Daphnia pulex: one gene and its partner. The protein of the gene in region 1 purifies or fractionates together with the protein of each later gene. This does not show direct contact. Links are inferred from orthologs where the notes say so. Each region holds a gene or a part of one and is shown on either strand. Other genes may lie near its edges.

Evidence for each region.
Region 2: the proteins of cilia- and flagella-associated protein 20 (region 1) and CLK4-associating serine/arginine rich protein-like purify together in Homo sapiens (affinity purification with mass spectrometry; 3 studies listed by BioGRID and IntAct, counting the BioPlex papers as one, with this or other methods). This does not show direct contact. The link is inferred for Daphnia pulex from reciprocal best matches to the Homo sapiens genes CFAP20 and CLASRP.

What each region holds. Positions count from the first base shown.
Region 1 is NC_060020.1:7,305,502-7,308,452, forward strand, and holds cilia- and flagella-associated protein 20, read right to left. Parts: upstream 1,702-2,951; 5' UTR 1,591-1,701; coding exon 1,462-1,590; intron 1,392-1,461; coding exon 1,245-1,391; intron 1,182-1,244; coding exon 876-1,181; 3' UTR 802-875; downstream 1-801. Other genes in the region: glutamate receptor ionotropic, delta-2-like, read left to right, coding at 1-14, 76-170, 231-537, 591-720, 1,869-1,910, 1,993-2,168, 2,232-2,357, 2,443-2,591. UniProt on the Homo sapiens protein: Cilium- and flagellum-specific protein that plays a role in axonemal structure organization and motility. Microtubule inner protein (MIP) part of the dynein-decorated doublet microtubules (DMTs) in cilia axoneme, which is required for motile cilia beating.
Region 2 is NC_060022.1:6,846,416-6,850,831, reverse strand, and holds the start of CLK4-associating serine/arginine rich protein-like, read right to left. Parts: upstream 2,820-4,416; 5' UTR 2,575-2,819; coding exon 2,531-2,574; intron 2,469-2,530; coding exon 2,414-2,468; intron 2,330-2,413; coding exon 2,232-2,329; intron 2,161-2,231; coding exon 1,970-2,160; exon of another isoform or gene 1,676-1,969; intron 1,613-1,675; exon of another isoform or gene 1,160-1,612; intron 999-1,159; coding exon 765-998; intron 701-764; coding exon 525-700; intron 461-524; coding exon 375-460; intron 269-374; coding exon 1-268. UniProt on the Homo sapiens protein: Probably functions as an alternative splicing regulator. May regulate the mRNA splicing of genes such as CLK1. May act by regulating members of the CLK kinase family.

The DNA of each region.
Region 1 (2,951 bases):
CAACGTCACCTGAAGTAAGTCTTATAATTGAAACATATTTAGAAATGTTTCTTTACCATTAATAACTTTGTAAAGCCACCATTTGTAGAAATTCCTGGAATTAAAAGCAGTTACAATGCTTTGATTGCAAGCGATACCTTAAATCTGCTGGCCGCGCGTCTTCAATTTTCGTATGCTTAATTTCTTAATATCAAAGGGATATCTTGTTTACAAAAAAATATCCGCTTTAGTTTGACTATAACGCACCCGCCTGATTTTCTGTTTGGAGGTTTCAAAAATGGGCAATGGGATGGAATCGTTGGGCAGCTTCTGCGAAAAGTAAATTTTTTTGAAATATCCAGTAAGAATTTCTTTTACTACAGATTTTTTATCATTAAGGAAGCTGATATGGGGGCTAGTTTGAATGCCATAACTTACGCGCGATACACCGCAGTCGATTTCAGTGTCCCTGTGATTTACGATGTTACAGGAATACTGATTCCTTTTCCAGATGAAACTTCAAAAATCATGGCGGCCTTTCTACCATTCAGCATAGAGGTTATTTTCATTTTATTAATATTAATTGAAGTAATTAATATTTCATTCTGTAGGTGTGGATAGCTTTCATCTCCTCCACCTTTCTGGTTTACTTTACTTTATTAATTGAAGGAAAGATAAATTCGAGCAGAAAAAAATTTGGAGACCATGCAATGTGGGTTGTAGGCATCATTACTGGTCAAGGTAACATTTAAAAAAACTCTGTAATTAATAACTATTAAAGTAAGCTATAGCTTAAAAACTAAAAAGTCATGGAGACCAAAATAATGGTGCATAGAAAAAGTGGTTTTAATTGCAGGAAAAAAATAAAGATGAGCATACATCATAAGTCACCACATTTACACTTTTGCCTTAGCTTGAACAGGTAAATAGAGTTTGAATTCAGCAGGTAATTCATCTTCAGAATAGAGTCTGTCAGAAAAGTAAATGCGACGAATTCTGCAATTTGCATGAATTTGAATCCTTAAAGTTTCGACGTAATTTGTTCCGTAAGCACGCCTTGTGAAGTCAGCTAAATTAAATTGGATCTGGTTCCATCCTTCATCAAGCCGCATAGGCATAGTGCAAATGAAAGGTTTCACTCTTGTAGTTGATTGATAGTTGCTTGCTCTGAATCTACGTCTCACATTTTTATCATCTAGAATCTAAAATGTTTGCAAACTAAGTAATTATTAAAGATCAATGCATGTGAATTATATATCACTAACCTGAACTTCAAAAGTGAAATACTTTTTCATGTTTTTGACAATCATAACAAGATATGGAAGTTTGATTCCAAGAGTTTTCTTTGGATCAGCAGGGCATGTAATGTATGTTGTTGAAACATTAGTTCCAACAATTTCTAAGACAAGGGACTTCATATTCATAAAAAAATCAGTTAATTTCTAAGTTTAACGCTGCTTTAAACTGTTTTTTTTTTTTTACCTGAATATCGTTGTCAGTTATTCGCTTGATATGACCGTTTCGTACGATTTTGTCCCAGAGCTGCAGAGGTTTACTTCCAATGCTATAAAGAACGGATAGAAATCCACTTTGAAAAGTGTTTTTAAACATTTTGCCGGTTTCAACTATGGACTTATTAGGCTAGAACTAGACTAAGAAATAAGTTTCGAGTAAAATCAGTTGTTTGTGTCAATTGTGTGTTTATTCAATAAACAAACGATCGTCATAGCAACGCACCGCTGCCAGATTTTTTCGCTTCCAAGTGCATATTGAAATAAATTTTTAGATTATTATTTTATTTAGTATTTTTTGTTTTAATTCTAGTTTGAAAATAGTTGGAGTAATTTACTTTATTGTTAATTATAATTGTTTTTCCTCATGCATAAAAGGTGTTGGATATAATGAAAATCGCTTGGGTTTGCGTCTTGCAGGTGAAACAGTTTAATTTATACGATTTCTTGAATCTTTGTCATTTAAAATATTATCTATTTTTTTGTTTCATTTCCTTAATAGCGGCCACATGGTGTTTAACGATGGTAGTATTCATATACGTTTACACTGGGGTGCTTACGGCTTTGTTAGCTGTTCCCAACTACGTTCCTATAATAAATACTTTAGATGAATTAGCTACGAGCTCCACCATCAAGCCGGTCACGATTAAGAGTACCGCAGTCGATGATATCATGCTGGTTTGAGATTTAAGATATTCCAAACATTGATATCAGGGTAACGGTTTTTATATCTTTATTCAGAATGCCAAAAATGGTACCTATAAACTAATCGGCGACACCTTTCGCAAATACCCAAATGAAACTTTAGTAGCCAACACTTTAATTGGTGTTCAACGTGCAGTCGAAGGAAAATATGGATTTTTAGAGGTAGGCCAAAATACAAAAGTACAAAATTTCAGCAAGTAGATTGGAGCTGCCACTGTAATCAGCATATCTGAATACGTATTTTTAGCCACGAATGTCCCTTTTGTCGCTGATGGAAAACGATCGCAAGGAACACAACAGTTGTCGTGTAACTTTGGCTAAACAAACATTTTATCCTCGTGCTTTCGCATACTTTTTGCCAAAGAAAAGTCCGTTTAAAGATGCATTTGATCGACAGTAAGTACGAAATTTATGGGGTGCGGAATGAACACTTTTTCCAAAAAAAATGTTCAATAATCGATTACCATATTTGATGTGAAAACAAATTGATAATCGATTTGAATATTGAAATCAAGTTGAAAATATATTCAAAAATTGAAAACGTTTTGAAAACGATTTCATAAATTGAAAATGATTTTGAAAAATGAAAACGATTTCGAAAAACTAAAATGAATTTGAAAAACTAAAATGATTTCGAAAAATGAAAACGAATTTGAAAAATGAAAATGAACTTGAAAAATGAAAATGAACTTGAATATCCATACAATTTCGGGAGTGCGATATGACACCACCCTACTCTATCCCCAGCTCTCTCCG
Region 2 (4,416 bases), on another chromosome or scaffold:
GTCACGACCACTGTTTAAAGGACGACCACCCCTGTCTCGAGCCAAAAAAGTTGTGGAGGCAAATGGCCGCTTATTTGGTAAATCTTTATCGCGAGTTTTGTTCGGAGACCGAGAGCTAATTGTTTTCCCTCCTGGATCCGAATCTTCGTCACCAAAAGATGTGATAAATTTGATTCCACCTTCGAAGGGTGAAGGAGAACGTGACTTGGACACTGATTTCGAGCGGCGAAGTTGTCCATCGTAAGTTGGGCTAGCTCGTGTAGCGTAACTAAAAACATCACGAAAGAAAACGAAGCAAACAAGAATGTTGAATAAGAAAGGAAAAAACAAATTGTTCAAAAATATGAACGTAAAATTATGCAGGGTGATTTTACCTTGGAGGACTCAGACATCGATTCATAAGCAATGCTTGCAGCTTTTGCTCTCTAAACGCCCGTCGCTCTTTCCTTGCTTTTCTCCCCTAGGATTTTTTGTCTAATAGTTAGTTATTAGAAACTAAACCTGAAATATTTTTACAATATTACAGAATACATGGCCCGTTCTTGTTCTTCCTCTTTAGCGATTCGTAATGACTCTTGCTCATCCAAATCACGAGTGAGTAGTGACATGAAGTCCTGCCGGCCTAACCCATAGTGAAGTGCACATTTGTTGACTTCGTGCATTTGCTCAGTTGTCAATTTATCGACAGCAATTGATAAATCTACGAGATCATCAATGTCTTCACAGATATTTTCGATTATTTGATTGTATTTGACTAATATTACCCAAATCAATGTCGCTATCGGATTCTTCTTCTTCAGTCGCTTCGGGAGGAACCACGGGAATATTATGCGAAGTTGATGCTGCGGCTGACGAGGATGGCGTGGAATCGTCATAAGTGAACCCAATGGCCGCTTTCTTCGGCGCAAGCATTTTTTTCTTTTCCTCTTCACCTAACTTTTGAACTGGTCCGAATTGCTCTTCAAGCAATATTTGATGTAGAAACTTTTCCTCTGAAACTAAAAATGCATATTACACAAAAAACTAGTTAATGAAAAGAAAGCATAGAAAACAAAAGTAAAAAGTCCTCCAGGCCTTACAAGTTCTTACATATATTCTGTCTAGGTCAACATTCATTATTGCTATCTCTCGCAATCGACAAGGCTGAAGGAGAAAAGGGTTTTGTCAAACACGGAGGTACCGTTCGCATGCATTCGTCTTCAAGAAAGCGAGCAGCGTGGTTGAAGTTTAAGCGGCCTTGCACAGTGAAAACGCCAACTGTCTCGTTAGTCAGAGAGAGCGCGATTTTAGTGCCAAGAAAAAAAAGGACGAAACGAAAAGAAATAATCAAGAACGGATTCCAGTGTGGCATTATCATTCCTACTTTCTAAAGAAGATCTACGGAATCTGTTTTTCGTCAATCTCAGTTCTGGGGGTATCGCGGCATAACCTGTTCTTTTAAACTTCAATGGTGATGACAGCTTCTGTTCTCCAGGAAAGTGGAGAAAAACAGACTAAAATACAGAGATCGAACAATAAACTTATTTGCTGTTCTTTGCGATTGATGGTGAAAACATAGAGCTTTTTAATGGAGATCAGGGAAGCTTGTCCTTCTTGTCCATTCCGGATTAAGGTAATAAATATTTATTATAAAATTTAGTCTGGATATTCAAGTTATTCACCCTTTTCTTTTCAGAGTGCACTAATAGCAAAATTCATCATTCTACTTCTTGTGACAGCAACATTAACTGAAGGGGCGCCTATTCCCGGTCACTATTTGGAGGAAACACCAGGAGAGGATCGGTCTTACCATATTCACAATTTCGTGAAGAGAATGCATAAGCTATTCAGTTTAATACAGTTTACAATAAGGCATAATCTTGGCATGTTTTGAAAAATGTAAATTATTGTCCATACAAACCACTGAGTGATTTCAGTCAACTGATTTTATTTTCTAAATGTATCTTAAGAACTTTGAGAGATGTCTTACCTCCAATAAATTCATTTTGTACAAGGATTCTGTATCTTTCATAGCTCGCTTGTCTTTCTTCCCACACCTCCTCACCAGGATCCTGATCAGTGTCGCTGTCATCTTTTTGGGGGCGACAAGGAATAACATCTAGATGTGCTCTAACATCAAACCGGTCAATCAAGATTTCTGGTTGTCCTTGCCAAGGCATCCTGTAAAAGTAAGTTTTTTGGGCAAAGTTAATAGGTACAGAGATCCAAGATATTTAGAGCCCTCATTATACATTGTAGCAGGACTGTCCGCTATAGCTGCTATTGCTGGATCAACATGAATTTTCATGGGGCGACCATGAACTTGAAGGAATTGGGCAGGATCTCCTTTCTAAAAATTGTAGCATTAATTTTTTTTTTAAATTTTGTGGGTGGAAAAAATAAAATTATTAAGCTTGTTATATTGTTGACTGACTGTTTTCTCATAATATTCTCGACGCCTTTCAGCTCGCCTTCGGTGATCTACCATCCTTAAATTGAAAAAGAGCTCAGAATTAGAAAGCCAAGGACATCTAATGCCATTTGCACATACATAGACTTCAGGAGACGCTCCTGTTTTCGTGCTTCATGCCACATGTTGATGGGTCGAAATCTTCGTTTTCAGTGAATCCTATACTTTCTGAACTGTATAGAATACGTTTTTACTCACTTATTATCAACAATTCTATATTTTTGAAAAACTTCAAAGTAACAGCAGACTAATCATCCTTCATTAAAATACTCTACAAGATTGGTAGGAGCCACCAAGCGGATCACACAAGTACTATATGCCTTAGGTGTTGCAACAAAAAACAAAACAAATCGCATGTACGCATGTATGCAAAACGCCAAACCCTCGGCCTTAAACTTCAAAATATCAAAACTTTCTCTCCCGACTCCTGTCGTTTCGACAGTCCAACTTTCTAATGTATTAGCAGCTTTTACATCAGTAACTGCAGTGGAAAAATGAGCGTTATAGGAAAAGATTTTTTTTTCCTTTTTAGTTTTTATCTTTTGAGCATATGGTTACAGCATTTTCTCTCGACAACATTTTGTAGGTTAACCGTACGTCACACAGCTTTCACATTTCTCAATTTCAACTTAGAGAATACTTATTAAGTAATAAAATGGTCCGTTAATTTATGGAAAATACGAATAGGTAACAAGAAGAGTAACAATTTTCCTGGTTTACCGATGTCTAATGATGCAAGCTAGCGTTAAACTACAACTAGTGGTTAAATGTGAGATTGGAAATTAACGCAATATTGAGTGAACTAAGTGAAGAACAAAGTCAATTAACGACATTTACCGTTAAATATATGTAGTCAATTATACCACATCAAGATTGGTAAGACTACTTCAAAATAAATCAAGCGTTTGCTCGAGCAAAATTTCAAAAAAAAATAAGACAGCCCAAATAAATCTATTTGCTAAGTATTTCTTCAATTGGATTTCAAATTAAAAAAATAAACTTGCAACTTGCTCATGTATATGATTGATGATGAGTTCCAATGATTCAAAGATGGTCCGGACTCCGGAGAGGTGGAGTCTAACCGCGGTGAGTTGAGAAGAGAATTAAATCAAGAAAATGCCGGCGAAGCTTGAGGTTCCTTTTTGGCACTTGATCAAAAACCTTTTTCTTTGAAAAGGTGAGAGATGGGGTTAATAAACTGTGATGAGACGATTCGGCTGGGAGTCCAACAAAAAAAGATCTTGGACTACAATTAATTTAAAGTTTTTTGGGCTGAATCCCCGCCTCAACCTCAACTCATACTTTCTATACTCATATATCTCTACCACACACCCACCTACCCAATATGACGTCATAGAATAAATGTGAATCTTGCCTGAGTAATTTTTTAGGAACTTCTTTTAGAACTCCAATCCAATTTATCTCCAGTCACTCAAAAGTCTCTAAATCAACCTTGATATGGTGGCATTAGAATAATATATTGAATTCGGTATCCAACAATCGAGTCCTTAAAAACATGATGAATTAAAGAAATTAAGGGTGGCATCGCGGGTTTTTCAGTAATCATTCAGGACACCTTGCATTGTTGACGAAACACCCTATTAAGAAAAAAAGAATCAGGAAAAAATCAAGGAGTTTATCGCAAAATGTGAGTTATTCTATTACTTTTAGATGATCTGAATCGGAGTATGCGACCATTCCATATATTGGCTTCCTGTGGGGGTGATGCTATGAGATTCTCCTTTTGAAAATTACGATTGATTTAGCTTTCAAACTTAAAAAAAAAATTATAATAATAATAATAATAATAGTAATACTCTTAAAATAGGAAATATCAATAACAAGCAAGACAGAAATTCAGCCTGTTACTACTGGAATACGCTGGAGGGATGTAAAATTTTTCTGTGTCAAACCCTCTCCGCATCGAGTTATGCCTAACTTTCCCACTAACGTGAAAACCGCATTGC